4 linked regions of the Danio rerio genome follow. The protein of the gene in region 4 interacts with the protein of the main gene of each other region in a pairwise test. Links are inferred from orthologs where the notes say so. Each region holds a gene or a part of one and is shown on either strand. Other genes may lie near its edges.

What was found.
Region 1: the proteins of bag3 (region 4) and dazap2 interact in binary tests that used the Homo sapiens proteins (3 or more experiments, as listed by UniProt). The two-hybrid records come from large-scale screens. The link is inferred for Danio rerio from reciprocal best matches to the Homo sapiens genes BAG3 and DAZAP2.
Region 2: the proteins of bag3 (region 4) and sf3b4 interact in binary tests that used the Homo sapiens proteins (3 or more experiments, as listed by UniProt). The two-hybrid records come from large-scale screens. The link is inferred for Danio rerio from reciprocal best matches to the Homo sapiens genes BAG3 and SF3B4.
Region 3: the proteins of bag3 (region 4) and fam189a2 interact in a two-hybrid assay, tested with the Homo sapiens proteins (2 studies listed by BioGRID and IntAct). The link is inferred for Danio rerio from reciprocal best matches to the Homo sapiens genes BAG3 and ENTREP1.

What each region holds. Positions count from the first base shown.
Region 1 is NC_133198.1:36,680,055-36,684,317, reverse strand, and holds part of dazap2 (DAZ-associated protein 2), read right to left. Parts: intron 950-4,263; coding exon 698-949; intron 1-697. UniProt on the Homo sapiens protein: In unstressed cells, promotes SIAH1-mediated polyubiquitination and degradation of the serine/threonine-protein kinase HIPK2, probably by acting as a loading factor that potentiates complex formation between HIPK2 and ubiquitin ligase SIAH1.
Region 2 is NC_133194.1:8,478,290-8,483,166, forward strand, and holds the start of sf3b4 (splicing factor 3B subunit 4), read left to right. Parts: upstream 1-1,890; 5' UTR 1,891-1,918; coding exon 1,919-1,952; intron 1,953-2,292; coding exon 2,293-2,421; intron 2,422-4,102; coding exon 4,103-4,645; intron 4,646-4,877. UniProt on the Homo sapiens protein: Component of the 17S U2 SnRNP complex of the spliceosome, a large ribonucleoprotein complex that removes introns from transcribed pre-mRNAs.
Region 3 is NC_133180.1:56,862,615-56,867,656, reverse strand, and holds the end of fam189a2 (endosomal transmembrane epsin interactor 1), read left to right. Parts: intron 1-614; coding exon 615-928; intron 929-3,517; coding exon 3,518-3,781; 3' UTR 3,782-4,013; downstream 4,014-5,042. UniProt on the Homo sapiens protein: Functions as an activator of the E3 ubiquitin protein ligase ITCH in the ubiquitination of the CXCL12-activated CXCR4 receptor. Thereby, triggers CXCR4 endocytosis and desensitization, negatively regulating the CXCL12/CXCR4 signaling pathway.
Region 4 is NC_133188.1:28,710,694-28,714,956, reverse strand, and holds part of bag3 (BAG family molecular chaperone regulator 3), read right to left. Parts: coding exon 4,027-4,263; intron 1,496-4,026; coding exon 1,208-1,495; intron 1-1,207. UniProt on the Homo sapiens protein: Co-chaperone and adapter protein that connects different classes of molecular chaperones including heat shock proteins 70 (HSP70s), e.g. HSPA1A/HSP70 or HSPA8/HSC70, and small heat shock proteins (sHSPs), e.g. HSPB8.

The sequences.
Region 1 (4,263 bases), on a different chromosome or scaffold from region 4:
ATAATTTTAAAAAATTAGATTTAAAAAAATCATTTTGAGATTTACTTTTGATAAAAATTCTAGTATTTTTTGAAGGATTCCCATTTAAAAATATTCCCTTTAAAGTCTCGCCACATATTTTATTTATTTATTGCCACATCAGCAATTTGTGGCAATTTCATGGCAAAGTCAATATACATAAAAACATCATATAGGACTTGATACACAAACAAATATATAAATAAATACAATTCACAATAACTGTTTATTAAAAGTTAAATATGATTTTATAAATAACTTCATCATGATGAAACTTTTTATTGAACATCTTTCAAAGTGTTTTCTTTATAAAATCTTGTCCTTAAACATTCACAATCTAATATGATGTGTTTTATGGTGAGAGCAGCTTGACAGTAATTACATGTTGGTGGAGATAAAAATAAGGATAAAAATCATTGACTGATAAAATTAAAAATAAAGCATTTCCATAGTATGTTTTAAATTATCCTTTGAGTAAATGTCTATGAGTGAGTCCTGAGCGTCTGATATGGCATCTTGTGTAAACAACCTCATCATGTCTTTTCATGTCATTCAGATTTCTTCAGATTTCTAAAAGTTTTCATCATTGTGACCCTCAAGCATAAACTGAGCTTGACTAATATAATGGAAATCTCATTTGGCTGATAAAACACATCATGTTTAGGGGACATATACTCACCGGAATGGAACTACCAGTGCCAGGCCCGAAGCGAGCTCCAGCATCAAATCCACCATCCACCATGACAGTGGAGCCAGGAGGGTACACGGGCCCCATCGGATAATACGCCATCGGGACACTAGAAGCCATGGCCCCCATTGGCACAGTCTGGGCATGCATGGGCATGTACATCTGAGTACCAGGGTAAGCAGAGGTCATCTGGGGCATTTGTCCAGGGGCTGGAGGGGGAGCCATATATCTGGGCTGATAAACCTGCAGGTAGGAGAGAAAACTATTTCAAACATTTGTGTAGGTGATAACAAAAAGTGTATAATTCACACTTAATATCAAGACTTCAATTGTTTTAATTGAAGTTAATTAGACTAATGAAAGACAATGGCATTTTAAATCTTAGTTTTGATTGTTTAGAGCAGAGGTGCCTAAAGTAGGGCCAAAGTTGGCCAATGGTAACCTTTGGTTTAGCCCCATCATCCCATCTGAACAGTAATGACGGTGAGTTGGTTGGGGTGAATGCCTTAGTTTCTTTGTTTAATTGAGTAGCTACCAAAAAAAAAGCCAACTAAAATGAAATGTTTCATATAAATGTTGTAAATGAATCAGACTTTTACTGCCACTTGACAGATAAAAGACAATGCACAAGACATCGGCAAGCAAATCAAGACAAAGGCCGAAGTAGCTCCACTAGTGTATTCAGCATTGAACACCATTGTCTAATAACTGGGATTGTTTGTTTTAACTGTAATAAGTTTATTATAACATGTTAAATCTGATACTGCATGTTTAAAAATGTTTAAAAGCAATGTTTTATTTTTATTTTTAAATATTAGCAAATCAATTAGGAAGTTTTCCATGGCAAATGTAATGTAATACAGTTTGGTATTTTTAACTTCGACCCACAGCCCTCACACCCCATTTACACGGGGCGTCAGCTGCAACGCTTCCCATTCACTTTGAATTAAGTAACATCAGGTGTTGCCGAACTGCATTGTGGACTCTTCGCTCAACATTTCAAGTGCCGACGGAAGCCTTAGCCAATCAGATCGCTGTATGCAAATACACCAGTTTAGACAGTGGCCTATTGCTGACTAATTTCATTGGCTGACGCTGCTATGATGATCGCATCAGCCCCAACTTCAGACACACCCTCTGTCAAGCGTTGACGCTGAAGCCCTGTGTGAATGGGGCATCAGTCAAGGTTTTGGGCCTTTTATAAGAAAAGTGTGTTTAAGCACCTCTGGTTAAGAGTTTAGTGCCTGCCATGACTATTAATTTTTAGAAATATCTAAATTAAATAAATAAATAAAACAAACAAATAAAGATCTGGTGTCACTAGGCATGGGACATTAACCGTTTTCAACGTTTACCGCAGTTTGGTAGACACCGTCAATTTTTTGCTATACCGTTCCTAAGGTATTTGTATGATTTTTTTATTTATATATATATAAATATATATATATATATTTTTTTTAGAACAACCATATCTCCAGCAGAAAAGATGTCCAACGTTGCTATTTTAAATGGTTAAAAAAATCAGTGTTTTGAAACAATTGAAGACAGCAGAGGTCAAGGATTCATTTAAACTATTCAGTCTGACATGTTTACTGCTCCAAAATATTAAGTGTTTCTCAAAATACCATATATTGTGTTCAAAGGGGAACCCAAACATTTAAAAGAATATATTTTAAAGCAGTAATGTCAATACCGTATTACAGTAAAACCGTGATATTTTTATCCAAGGTTATCAAACCGCCAGAATCTTATACCGGCCCATGCCTAGGCGTCACTTGATTAAAAATCACCTGAAAAACAAAAATGCCTAAATAAGATGTCCCAATCCCTCAAAATATACCCATATTTACTCATTTACATTTAAAAGTAAATTCATACCTCTTGATATTATGCATCACTCATGTACTGAGAACTGTAATGTAATGTGTTTTTTATTTAACGCCATGTTAGCAGCCAAGTCTATTTTCATGGCAAGAACATTTCAATAATAAATTTACAATTAAAAATCAACAAACAAATGAATATATACATTAAATACATTTTTACTTGATAAAAATGTAACATTTTTCCTGGTGTCACTTTGCTAAAAACGTCCTTTAGAGATTTAAATACATAAAAAAGTCTTCGGGAATCAAGAGGAAAAATGTATTTGAATGTGAGAGGAATTGCAGTATAATATACTGCGGTACAAACATTGAGTAGGGTCTTCACCTTTAAGCAAAAAAGCATGGGTTATTCTTGTACAGTTAAAGTCAGAATTATTAGCCCCCCTGGATTATTAGCCCCCCTGTTTATTTCTTTCCCCAATTTCTGTTTAACGAAGAGAAGATTCTTTTTTAACACATTTCTAAACATAATAGTTTTAATATCTCATTTCTAATAACTGATTTATTTTATCTTTGCCATGATGACAGTTAACAATATTTGACTAGATATTTTTCAAGACACTTCTACACAGCTTAAAGTGACATTTAAAGGCTTAACTAGGTTAATTGGGTTAACTAGGCAGGTTAGGTTAATTAGGCAAGTTATTGTAAAACTATGGTTTATTCTGTAACTATCAACACAAAAATAAATAAATGGCTTATAGGGGCTAATAATATCGAAAATGGATTTTAACAAATTAAAAACTGCTTTGATTCTAGCCGAAATAAAACAATTAAGACTTTTTTCAGAGGAAAAAAATATTGAGACATGCTGTAAAAATTGCCTTGCTCCGTCAAACATCATTTAGAAAATATTTTTTGAAAAGATTAAAAATTAAAAGAGCTAATAATTCTGACTTCAACTGTATGTCCAATACGACATCTGGGAAAAATCACCAAATCTAGTCTTAAAACTCTGTTTGAGGTTTCAGGTTGTATTTTATACAATTGATTTGTTTATGCATCCCACACTTTACTGTGAACACAAACAATTTTACATTAAAAAATAGCATAAAAAAGATTTTTTAAATAATTATTCTGCACACACCTGTAAATATTAAGTAAATTGTAAGTTGCTTTAGACAAAGGCATCTGCCAAATGCCTAAATGTAATTAGTTAACAAATGAGATGATGCTGTGACATGCTACTGAACTGATAAACAGAAATTCAATTCTGCAGTTGTATAAAGTCTAAATTTATGATTAGTACAATGTATTCATCAATCATTGGTATTCATTACTATTTATTTTTAAATTTACAATTAAATGTTATTTTATCACTGCAGTTTTAAATTAAGGTTTTAGAAACAACTCATAATAAAATCGCTGTATTGACTTGCCCCTTTTTATCTGTTATAACTGTCTAGAATATCTCTTACCAATGGGAATTTGGCATTGACTAATTCTTTGCTAAATCTGCCCTTGTCCTTCTAAATGGCAGCTCTTGCATCACAGAAAATGATTCATCAAATCCAATATAAAAAAAAAGTATATTCATATAAAATCCAGGACACTTCATTAAAAGAAGACACTGAATCCTAAAAAAATGCTTCTAATATAACACTTGATTATAACGAGACATTGTTCTGTGAAGCCTTTCCTACTGCAACTCATTTACATAAGCAAAGAGAG
Region 2 (4,877 bases), on a different chromosome or scaffold from region 4:
TAAAACAGCAGTTTGTTTCTACATATAACCTGAAAGTGAACTCAAATTAGATGCATAGTTTTTATAGTTTGACCTACAGTAAACTCTGGAATAGCTAATCAGAGGATATCGTAGGTCAGAATACACTAAATATCGCACAAAACACTGGAAACTTAAATATGTTTATTAATAAATCAGATTAATTAAACTAGCTCAAATAAATACATTCATGTGATTCACTAAAGCATGTATTACACAAACTAACGTTAACATACCAAAAAGGTTACCCTCCTGTTGGTGAATGTATAATTTGCACCTTGGGCACAACCCAGTACTGGAAAACACCCATACACTCTATCATTCACACACACATTCATACACAGGGCCAATTTAGTTTATTTAATTCACCTATAGCACATGTCTTTGGACTGTGGGAGAAACCGGAGCACCTAGAGGAAACCAACTTGCGGAGAACATGCAAACTCTATGCAACAGCACTAACCACTAAGCCACCATGCCACCTTAAATTAATGTACTTTAGTTTAATTTTTGGGAAACGTTTTTAAATGACAAAAATGTAATTTATATTGAGTGCTTGTGCTTGATTTGAAGAAAACCATTAATTTTATAATGCCTATCATTTTATTTCACTTTGAAAAGTAATTGCTTCACTGTTGTTTTTTCCTCCATCTTACACACAATGGGGTATATGCACACAAACTTTTAATTTCAGTCAGTCAGCCCCATTGCTTCCGGTTAATTGTCATCCCAAACTAAATTGCAGCGTTTAAGATCTGATTTCTTTAAATAACAGCAATCTTCACTGCCTGGCTGAGATGCGATATATAGTGGGTATCAGACCTAGCATAAAAACACTGCATTAATTTATAGACTATTTTTCCACACCATGTCATTAAAATATGGAAATTAATTTTTCCTCAGTATTTTTTTTAAAGTTTTTGCGCTTACTCGCTGCTAATGACGGCGCCTGCATTTAAACGGTTTTTATGCTTTACCAACCAAATATTTAACTGAATGTATTGTAATTATATTACAACATCGATGCTGTAAAAGAAACCTTATGAAATTAAAGCTTTTATAAAGCTTTCGCTAGAAGTTTATCATTGGCTAAAAAAAACTAGCTGTGCATATAGCTTATTGATAAATTTAAAAGTTTGTATGTTAACAGCACACATTTCAGCGTATGTTATTACTTATCTAAAAGAAACTTCTTTCATCATCAAATCTAAAAGTATACTGAGGTAACTTAGCTCACCCAAAATTTATTTTTAATACATTCTTATAAAGTCTATCCACTTGTGTGCCATTTTAAGTCTTATTTGTTTTTAACCATTAATTAAAAACTTTAATTTGTACTTTTTTACCTCACTTTTTTACTTTGTTAGTACACTGTAAAAAATTCCACACAATTTGTTCATTGTCTCAACAAATTTAATTGGTTTAAACATAAAACAATTAAGTTGCCCCCACAAATCACAAGAATTGTGTTGCTTCAGCTTGAACAAGCAGTTTGTGTATTTCTACTTCCACTTAAGTATGGTAGGTCATTTGAGTACTTTATACAGCTCGTGATAATATTAACTTGCATATTTAATTAATTGTTACTTATGTGATAAAAACCATGCGGTAGCCTACTGTTTGTTTCGTCGCCACAGATCTGTCCATTAGACAGTCTGACTGGGTCCTGGCTTAGCACAGCTGTGGCTCCATTTTATGACCTTTAACAACATAAAAGACATATTAAGTAACTTCCGAACAAAAACAGACAAAGGACGTAGTAAATCATAATTTGACATCCACAAAATCGGCAATGTTCATCTTCCTCTCCTGTGGGCGGCAGCACTGCGATGACAAGACGATGTTGAGGTGATTTCAGCAAAAAGAACTGCTTCCGTCTGTACACACGCCGGGGTTCATCATGGCGGCGGGACCGATTTCAGAACGAAATCAAGGTATATTTGATAAATTTAACTTTTTAGTGAAATTGTTATGTAGTGTTCGGGGTAAGTGATGGATTGCAGCATTATTGAACACCTTAAGTTCTTCCTATGTTCTATGATACAGTCAAATCGCTCATTTTCATTCATTCAAACATGTTGGCTTAACAAATAAAAACAAAGAAACGTTTGAGTTTTGGTTTTAATGAAGTGTAACAAAACAATCATGCATATTTCAATATGCTTATTATTATCGGAATTAATAAATTGTATATAAATAATGCATCTAACGTTAAATAAAATACTATGTTTGTGTTCAGTGTTGTCATTTATATTGATCATCTTTTATCTGCAGATGCCACTGTATATGTGGGTGGTCTCGATGAGAAGGTCTCTGAGCCTCTTTTGTGGGAGCTTTTCCTTCAAGCTGGTCCTGTTGTAAACACACACATGCCCAAAGACAGAGTAACAGGACAACACCAGGGTGAGTTACCACGTCTTTAAATCCATTGGGGTAAAGTTGCTTTTATACTCCCTCATTCGGTCTTTCCTCTTAATATAATTTAGCAAAAGTATTCTTTGCAAATTATAAGAAGGAAAATGACATTAGCAGTCAAAGACTATCAAAGTTCAATATTGTTCACAGACAATGAAATAGTTGCATTATATTTTAGACCATATATTCAAAGTAGCGTGGTAAACAATACAGGAACTGTGTTCCTAACAAGTTTGCATAATACCAGCCAGTGGCTGCTAAATATCTAGTTTTGCTCAATCTTACGTTTGTTTGTGTTGTTGACATTGTTGAACAAAACCCCAGTTATAAGTACTGATTTTGTTTTTATTTGTACTTTTTATTATTTATTGTATAATTTTTTTTTACCCAAATCTTGTGTTTGTTTGTTACAACTGCAATTCTGCACACTTACTTTTGCATTCATAGGCTGCAGACTTGGAAGTCCACAAAAACTGATTGAGGTATAATTGGTTTTATATTTGCACATTCTGACTTTCTCCTTAACTATATAATTTCAGAAAAATATTATATTTAAATTCTAAACAGTGAAACCATATTAGCAGCCGATGACTACAACACTGTTCACAGACAATTAAATAGTGTAATGTTGTTTGTAGTGTAATACTTGCATGCAAATTTAGACTGAATATTGAAAGTAGTGTGGTAAACTATATAGTAACCGTTAAAATGAATAAATTTGCGAATGTAAAACCTTCTTTACCTCAATCAAAAACTGCCTGTGTGTTATCAAATCTATCCTACAGAGAATTGATATTGATTTTTATCTTATTATATTTCACAACAAGGGACGGTGTACATTAAATTTAACTTATTTTTTGTTTTTAAGACTGTAAAGCACTTTGAGCAGCCTTCTGATTGTAAAAATGTGCTATATAAATAATTTGATTGATTGATTGATAAATCAACATTGCCTAATATTGTAAATGTAGTCAAATTAGTACTCAATACTCAAATCATATTTGAGTAATTCTTATGTATTGTATTAAGAAATTAAAGTGTATTTTAACATTGAATGCATGTCAGGGTTCAACGGCAAGGATTTTGTCTACTGGGCCGATCGGGCCAGTGGTTGAGATTTTCACTGCCCCCACCAAAAACAACAAAAAGTTAATAGTTATGTCTTAGCCACATATTTTAAATAATAATAGAATTTAAACATTTCAAAAATGGTAATAAATGTATAATGAGCAAAATTCAAGATTTTATGCCAACGAAAGAGCAGTATGGAAAAAAAAGCTGGTATTTTATTGCAACTCTAAATTATTTTTATAAAAATGGCTTGCCAAACTGACAACCTTTTTTTTTTCTCTCTCCAGTTTCTTAATTTTGTACACATGTATTGTCTGCTTCCAATACTTTAGAAACAGACATTTTCTTTTAGCCTCATCGTTTGATGTTGCTGCCATTTTGCCATGTTTTCGATGTACTTGTTGTGACCAGGTTACGAAAAAAATAACGTGCGATAGGGGCCAGTAACAATCCTGTCTACTGTCCCGAGCGCCTTTCAAGCTGGCCCCGGGCCACCGGGCAGTCCTTATTGTTGAGCCCTGCATGTAAAACAAAATTAGGAACTTTTAACAACCTAATAGGATCACTTCAAAAACTGGTATCGCTCTCTCTTCTTCAGGTTATGGCTTTGTGGAGTTTCTCAGCGAAGAAGATGCGGACTACGCCATAAAAATAATGAATATGATCAAACTTTACGGCAAGCCCATACGAGTCAACAAAGCTTCAGCGCACAACAAGAACCTCGACGTTGGTGCCAACATCTTCATTGGCAACTTGGACCCTGAGATCGACGAGAAATTACTTTATGACACATTCAGCGCTTTCGGTGTGATCCTTCAGACCCCCAAGATCATGCGAGACCCCGATACGGGCAACTCGAAGGGTTACGCCTTCATCAACTTTGCCAGTTTTGATGCGTCAGATGCGGCTATCGAGGCTATGAATGGCCAGTATCTGTGTAATCGGCCCATCACTGTTTCATACGCGTTTAAGAAAGACTCAAAGGGTGAAAGACATGGGTCAGCAGCCGAGCGTCTCCTTGCCGCACAGAATCCACTGTCCCAGGCCGATCGCCCACATCAGCTTTTCGCAGATGCTCCACCTCCTCCAAGCATGCCCACGCCTGTCATGACTGCCCTCGGAGCAGCCATGCCTATTCCAGGTTAGAGATGAGAAACATCTTAATGACATGTTGCAAATGTTTTTCACATTTCCAGGTTCAAAGTCGTCAGAGTTGGATAAATTTAGAGTGAAGTGAATGGGAGAGTACAACAAATATTTTTTATTCACAATCCTGTTTGCTGAAATAGTAAAAGAAAAACTTCACTATGGTGTTATCAAGACTTTCAAGAAAGAAAAGAAAATAATGTGAGACTGATAACGACAGACAGAAA
Region 3 (5,042 bases), on a different chromosome or scaffold from region 4:
CAAAAATGTTTAAAGTTTTTTTTTTTTTTTATTTATATATGTTGCACACATATTAACATACAATGTAAACAATCGTTCAGTACACCAAATTAGCTTTGCAGGGATATCAAACATAAACTATCTATAATCTTGTTTCAGTTGTGGTAAAGTTAAACATTGCATGCAGAAGTATTAATACTTGGGCAAAAGACTTGTCGCAAAACACATGATTACACATAAAGAGAGAATAAAGGTTTACATAAAAAGCATCAGTCTTAAGGGTAGGAGAGGTTGATGTTGTATCATCTGTGGAATAAAGCAAAATAATTATGTGTCTAATCGGGCACATTTGTTTAACTTTGTAAAACCCTTGATCTTCTGTTTTCATACATGATTTTTATGATAATAATAATAATAAAATTATTTATAATAATAATAAAATTATATTTAGTTTGGTTAGAGAAATGACACTACAGTAAAATAAAATGAATGTTTAGCATCACAAATGACCAGCAAGATAGACACACACATTTTTGGTTGTAAGAAATTAGAAGACTAATGCTATAGGGTTAAATGTTTGCATGCGACATGCGTCACTATCTCTCACTGTTATATGGTTTCTTTCTGTCTTTCAGTAATGAGTTGTGAAGCAGCCACACAGACAGAATTAGGCCCTAGTCCAGCTCCTGCCCCAGGTTCACTGACTGGAACAGAGAACGGGTCTGTCACACTACGACAGGGCTGTGGTAAACGAAAGCCTCGCCCCAACTCTTTGGTGGACTACCAGAGCTACAGAGACACGAAACTGCTGGTGGCTCGTTTTCTAGAGCAGTCGTCCTGCAGCCTGACACCAGAGGTGCAGGAGCTCGTCAACAGCATTAAAACTGTCCTGCGCTCAGATGAGGAACACATGGAGGAGGCCGTTCGATGTGCCAGCTTCATTGACCAGGTAAGACATTCACTGAAAATCTGTGTTTGAATCCAGCTCGCTACAGTTTAACACTGTAAACACTAATATCTGAAAGTATAGTCAAAAAAATTATTTGGAAATAGATGTTCATTGAGCCTACTTTTTTCTTGCCATTGCAAATAGATATGTGCACGTCTGGAAGTGTTGTCTTTGTTTTTCTATTTATTTTTTATTTAGCAGTAAGCAAATAAAATGAATATTGATCTGTTCAAAATGTAGTAGTAGATTCTTGATTTCTTCTGCATTTAAAGTTTTTGTTGTGACTTTAAAGCGTTTTCTTCTTCTTCTTTTTCTTCTTAGTAGTGATATATATATATATATATATATATATATATATATATATATATATATATATATATATATATATATATATATATATATATATATATATATATATATATATATATATATATATATATATATATAGTGCATCCGGCGCTTCACTTTTTCCAAATTCTTTTGGTACAGCCTTATTGCAAAATGGATTCAATTATTTCCTCAAAATTTAACACACAATCACCCATAATGTGATTTTATTTTAATTGTTGCAAATGTATATATATATATATATATATATATATATATATATATATATATTTAAAAAAACAAATATCGCATGTACAAAAGTATTCACAGCCTTTACCGTCGAGCTCTAAATTGAGCTCAGGTACATTCTGTTTCCAGTAATCATTCTTGAGATTTTTCAGCATTGGACATTTAAAAAAGGCATACACCTGTCTATATAAGGTCCCAGGGTATACAGTGCATGTCAAAGCACAAACCAAGCATGAAGACAAAGGAATTGTCTGCTTGGGAAGGTTACAGAATTTTTTTTGCATCTCTAAAAGTTCCAATGAGCACAGTGGCTTCCATCATCTGTAAGTTGAAGATGTTTGGAACCAACAGGACACTTCCTAGAGCTGGCAGGTCATCTAAGCTGAGTGATTACGGAATAAGGCCTGACTGTGCGCTTACACCGAAGACGTGAGAGCCTCAAAGGTGTACACCTCTAATGTCCGTACAAAGAATAATGGCTTTACATCGTCGCTTCCCATCCAACCTGATAGAGCTTAAGAGGTACTGCGAAAAGGAATGGGCCAAAATTCCCAAAGACAGGTGTGCCAAGCTTGTAGCATCATATTCAAAAAAACTTGAGGTTGTAATTGCTACCAAAGGTGCATAAACAAATTATTGAGCAAAGGCTGTGAATACTTATGTACATGTGATTTTTCTACTTATTTAACTATGTTAATTAGGTTAACTAGACAGGTTAGGGTAATAAGGCAAGTTATTGTATAATGATGGTTTGTTCTGTTGATTGTCGAGAAAAAAATTTGCTTAAAGGGGCTAATAATTTTGACCTTAAAATGTTTTTTAAAAAATTAAAAACTGCTGTTATTCTGGCAAAAATGAAACAAATAAGACTTTCTTTAGAAGACTAAAAGAAAAAATATATATTATCAGACTTACTGTGAAAATTTCACTGATCTGTTAAACATCATTTGGGAAATATTTTAAAAATCAAAAAATCAAAGGGGGGCTCATAATTCTGAATTTATATATATATATATAAGGGCAACGCAGTGGCACAGTGGGTAGCATGTTCACCTCACAGCAAGAAGATCGCTGGGTCGATCCTCGGCTCAGTTGACGTTTCTTTGTGGAGTTTGCATGTTCTCCCTGCGTTCGCGTAGGTTTCCTCTCGGTGCTCCGGTTTCCCCCACAGTCCAAAGACATGCAGTACAGGCTAAATTGTCTGTAGTGTATGTGTGGATATTTTACATGTATGTGTGGATTCCGCTCTGCCGACCCCAGATTAATAGAGGGACTAAGCCGACAAGAAAATGAATGTATATATATATATATATATATATATATATATATATATATATATATATATATATATATATATATATATATATATATATATATACATATACATACAGTATTTGTTTATTTTAATTATTTTATTACAATCCACATTTCAGTTTTAATTCACATTCTTTTTCACTGAGGATTTAGTTTTTTACTTTTTTTACTTCGCTTAAAGATTCTGTCCATCCATGCCAGTGTTTGTACACCATTTAGACACCTTGATGACAAAACATTCTCAAAACATCAACATGTGTCAAGTTGTTTACAAGATTACCAAGAGCCATGGCTGCAAAATGTTTTGCCTTATAGCTTAGTAGCTTTAATGCTCATTTAAGCATTTTTGGGTAAATATTTGTCATCATATTTATACATGACATGTGCATTGAATCATGCACCATGACATGATTTTGACATCAGTTTGATTGGTATTTAAACCAGTTCTTTGACATCCATTTTGATGTCAATTTGATGTATTTTTAACACCAATTGCCCAAAGGGCTGTGCTTGGACTGTGATGTCTGTCACTTGCAGTTATGTTTAAAGGTATGTTGTCAGGGAAATTAGGTAGAAAGGTAGGAAGGTAGATCTCTAGGAACAGGGTTCCTGATTTACATACTTATAATGTTTTGTAGGGTAGACAGTATTCTGCTTTTTATTTCCACTAATGTCCTGTACTCTCCTGAATTTCTGCAGGCCATTACTGTTTCAGAGGTGTCATCGGCTCAGTCCTCTCTACGCAGGCAGACAAAGATGGAGCACTCCTCCAAGACACTGCCACTGCGCAAACGTCCCGGCATCCTTCACCTGCGCAGCTGTGGGGACCTCAGTTCCTTTACATGGGTGCAGACTAGCACGCGTTTGCGGACTCACTCCAGGATGGCTTCTCGGGCAGGATCCCGCCTGGAGCAGGAGCGACCACACAGCCTTATAGGAGTCTTCAGAGAAACTGTCCTCTAACAGACTGCATATGAGTGCAAACTGAGGCGTTAGACTGTAAAAAGTAGCTAATACTAACACATGACAGATGCCAAGCCAAGAGTTTAGTTTTCACTTTGTTTTTAAAAGGGCTTTTTAAAATTTTGCTGTTTCAATTCCAGTTGTTGGGAATTGCTAATGATTTTTTTAAATTATATGTTATGCACTATAAACTAATAAAACACTGGAATAATAAAAAAACAAACAACATAAATTATGTTTATGAATTTCATGTTAAATTTCATGATTTAATTTTAAACAATTAGATTTAATTGACCAAAAATACAACATTAATAATAATTATGTTTAAAATATATATTCAAATCCATATATTTTTGTTTGTTTATTGAATATGTGATATTATTTTTTGTTGAGTAATAAACTTATTGTGAGGTAGATGGAGGAAGAATCTGAAGCATTATATTTGACCAATCTGAGGACTATAAATATTTCTCCCAGTATGTCCCTCAGAAATATATCATGCATAATTACTAAAATTGAGGCAAGTGTATCTGCACTGTATTATTATTATTAATATTAAAATTATTATTTTTCCTAAATGACATTTTAATGTTTGATTATAGTTTTTACACAAAACTATATATAGATAATACTCTGTATATAATATACACTACATAGTCAAAAGTTTATATTTTTTAAGCCTTCATCAAGATGCTATTTTAATTAAATTGTTATACTTATTTATTAAATATTTATTTATTACTTATTGAATGTATTTTCAAATGAAATCATTAGTCCCGTCATTATTGCTTTATTTCTATTACCATTAATAATACTATATAATAATAATATAATTATAATAGAGTTATTTTTTGAAGGATCATGCGACTCTGAAGACTGAAGTAATGAAGCGGAAAATTCATCATTAAAATCACTGGAACAAATTCATCATACATTCATTCATTTTCTCTTCGGCTAAGTTCCTTTATTAATCCGGGGTCGCCACAGCAGAATGAAACGCCAACTTATCCAGCACATATTTCACGCAGCGGATGTCCTTCCAGATGCAACCTATCTCTGGGAAACAACCATTCACTCTTATACACTACGGTCAATTTAGCCTACCCAATTCACCTGTACTGCATGTCTTTAGACTGTGGGGGAACCCAGAGTACCCGGAAGAAACCCACGCGAACGCAGGAAGAACATGCAAACTCCACACAGAAATGCCAACTGACCCAGCCGAGGCTCGAACAAGCGACCATCTTGCTGTGAGGCGACA
Region 4 (4,263 bases):
GAATTCACTAGAGGCCACTGTGTGCACTTTTTGAGATTTCAAATTTCCCTCGTGAGTGCAATTCGCTCCTGTTGTTTTTATGTAAATCCACCAGAGGCCGCTGTTGACTGACTATTTGACTGTCTGATTGACTGAGTGACTAACCGATCAGCTGACCCACCCTCCTCTTTCCATAAACCCAACCAATAATATTTTTAAAAGCACCCACTGACCTGCCCATCCACATCCCTAAACCCAATCAACAATTTTAAAAAGCAATCAAGAAAAAGAAAAGACCTCGCCAGATTTTTTACTGCGTTTTCAGATTTTACCATACTTTTTACACATTCTTACCATATTGTTTACATGTTTATTTTCATCGTGGTCAACTCCTCTTTTCGTCTCAAGTCTGCTGGCGTACATGGTGAGCTAACCGGACAAACTAGCAACAGCATGAAAGCTGTCCACTTGGAGGTAGTCAGTAGCGTTTGTTTTAAAGATAAAATGCAGCCATATATAGCTCTGGCTACATAATTCGCGATCTCCAGAAACGTACATAGGGCTACATTTTCAGAATGAGCCTATGTTGAAAAATAATACGCCAAAACAAACCAGCCTGATCAAAAAAGGAAATGTAACTATTTTACTATTTGTCAGTTTAGTGGCTAATTCGCACAAATTTGTACGAGTTCAGTCAAACGTAAACGTAAGATTTTAAAAAGAAGGCATAGCATCCAACCCCACCCTTAAACCCAACCGTCATTGGGGGATGAGCAAACCATAATAAATCTAACAAATGAGATCATACAAATTCATACAAATTAGCCACTAAATCAAAAGGTTACAAATTGTCATGGCATGCCCTTTTTGAATTCTCCACTAGTGTTACTAGACAAACCCCTTACTGAAGATTGGCTGCAAGTGTGTTTTGGGTATCGGTCAGACACTGGTGTCATAAGCATTTCTCAAAAATTGCTAAGTGCACTTTTGAACAGAAAATTCATTCAAAAATGAAAATTATGTCATTATTTATGCATCCTCCATTAGTTCAAACATGCTTAAGGTTTTTTCTGTTGTTGAACACAAAAGGAGATATTTTGAAGAAACCTGTAGCCATTAAAATGAAAATTTTCCTTCTATCAATGTCAATGGCTACACTTTTCTTTAGATTATGTTTTTTTTTTTTCATCTTTCAGTAAAATATCCTCTTGATAAATAACACACATACCTGAGGCCTCTCTCCCATGATCTGAGCCATGACTGGCGACTGGGCTCTTAAGGGGACTTGGATGGGACTGGCAGCACGGTTCTGTTGAATCTGAATGGGCACTTGTTCACGGTAGATTTTTTCTCGAGTGGGATGAGAACTTTGGCTAAGCTGGGATGGCAAGACCCCCCCGGCACCCTCATGGATCACCGGAATGGGGATGTATCCTGCCCGGAGACCTGTATTGCTGGATCTGGGCTGCTGGTGAAGGCCACTGATTTGTTGGTGGGTCCCTTGTGGTTGATATCCCTTTGGTAAATAAAAACAGAGTTTGGGTCTGCATTAAATTGGTCAAAATTTACCTTAACAACACTTGTATTTATATAAATGTCACAAACAAACATTAGAAAGTTTTTACAACATATAAATTTACTACAAATTTCTACAGCTGTTGAAAATCCAGCTTTGCCTTCACAGGAATAATAATTGCATTTTAAGATATATTAAAATAGAAAATATTTATTTAAAATTAATATTGTAATGTTCTTGTATTGTTTTTGCAGTTTATGATTATATAAAAACACGAGTAGCACTGGTGGGAGGTGTGCATTGGCACAAGGCCGCAGGCTCTTTTGTGTGAGGAACTACTTTCTTCCGCCATTCATTCACATCTGCAGCTGATGTCAGAAAAGCAGAAACCCTTGCTCATTCACATGTCATTTTAGAGCTTGTATTTAAATGATTCTCTAGTGTAATATCTAAAGTGATGACAAAACAGGTGATTTTGCTCACATTTAAATTTTTCTAAGGCTGAACAGCATGAAATGCCATCAGTCTACAGATTTCCTTGTATTTCTCTGTTTTAATCAGTATATAACACTAAGTAAATAACACAATAATTATCCCCAAAAAAGCCAACCCAGCACAAACACTACCAGATTACTGTTGTGTTTGTGATAAAGAAAAACGTTTAAGACATGCGGGTATTTCTTTTTTGTTTCTGTTTACTGTACTAGTCTACAGTAGTAAAAACAGGAGACTCATTAGAAACAAACAGATAGCCCAGGGTTATACAAAGAGTGGCCAACACAAAATACATTCCTAATATGTGAGTCCCTTCTCACTCTCAACACACTACAATTACTATGGTATAAATACAGCACTACAACATACAAAAGAGAGCGATCGACTTCCAATCCCAATTCTACCCCATTAGCCCTTCCCCTTACCCCTACCCTTCGTTTGACGAGTTCCCGTGAAGGGGTAGGGGTGTCCCAATTCTCTTTAGCTTAAAGGCGTAGGGCTAAGGGGAAGGGTTAGACAGCCCTTCGAACTGAGATTTTTCCGGACTACACTCGAAACCAAGGGGTAAGAAAATTTTCCAAAATACACCAGCTAAAACGGTAACATAGCTGCACCCGGAAGTAAGGAGGTCTACAAAAAATAACACAACTGGAATAACTACAGCAGTCACGATCGACGATCTCCTATGAAGTAAGAGCTCGCGATGGCATATCATGACGTGTGCAGGTGCTGTAGTGGTGTCCCATTTCTTAGGAGTAAATTTTTCAGCCCTTCAACTTTACACTCAGTTTTAAGGGGCATGGGGAAGGGATAGGGGTACAAAATAGAATTGGGATTGGGCCTTAGAATGTCACTTAACAGTTTTATAATGATTTGATCAGCTGTAATTTTTCTCCTCTAAAAGCTTATTATGCAGTCTCTGTCGCCATCTGGTGGATGGCGTGGTATCTTATAAATATTTAAAATAGGGTTTATTCTTATAAATAAACTGCATAGTTGTAATCTAAACAACTACATTCTGCCTAAAAAGCCTCAAAAGTACATTATGTTGTCCAACAGCAGCAATATTTGTCAAACTGTAGTGAGTTTATTGATCTACTGTCACTCTGTGTGGGTGGAGTAATACATAAGGGTGAGGAGGCTGTACGATTGCAGAATATTGCACTGCTATCAGCCAATCAGATCCGGGAACCAGACAGAACTGTTGTATATATATTCTAGATATATATATATTCTCCCCATGTTTGTCTGGATGTCCTCCGGGTCCTCTGGTTTGCCCCACAGTCCAAAGACGTGCGGTATATGTGAATTGAATAAACTAAATTGGCCATAGTGTACAGGTATGTGTGAATGCGAGAATGTATGGGTGATCTTCAGTACTGGGTTGTTGCTGGAAGAGTATCCTCTGCGTAAAAAATATGTTGAGTCAGTTGGCGGATCATTCCGCTGTGGTGACCCCTGATAAATAAAGGGACTAAACCGAAGGAAAATGAATGAATGAATGAATAAGCTAAATAGTAAACAGAGACTCAGCAATGAAATGCTTATATACAATTTTCATCAGATGTAATTTTTCAACACCCTATTAAACACCATTTTTTTAAATGAAAAGTCAGGGCATCAGGAAGATTTTACAAATGAAGAAATTTTCATAAAAGTAAAAAATTAGCTATTCATTTATTCTGACTTAACTCTGAGATAAATTAAAAGTTTTCTTTAGGCTGTGCCATAAATGTAATAGTAAATAATATTTAGTTTCCTGCACTGATTGAAGTTTTGTTTCACGTTTCACGAAACCTCAATATATCAACAGGAGATATCTGTTTTGTTTTGCCTCGATATCCTTTTTTTGCTGTTTTAGCTAAATATTTTCTTTAAAATCCTACTAAAGAAAATCTCAGCGACATATTCGATGACCCAAGGGCAAGTAAATTAACAACCAATTTTACAGTGAACTATCCTCTTAATGCAAACCTTTCCCAATAAACCCAAGACAGAGACTGCCACTTCTATAGATTGCTTTCTCATGATCTTACCTCAGGCCCGTGTGAAGTAGGTGAGCAAGACGAACATGCTTCTGATGGGGTCTGCACTGGAGATCTAGGCCGACAGTGTGCTGCTGGCGTTGGGGAAGGTGTACGTCCATCTGTTCTCAGATTCTGCTGCACCGCTGGATGAATGTAGGAGAAACTAGGATACTGCTGCAGCCTGGGTTCAGGGTTTTCATGACAGACAGGGATGGGGATGTAGCCCTGCCGGAGCATTGGCTGCCT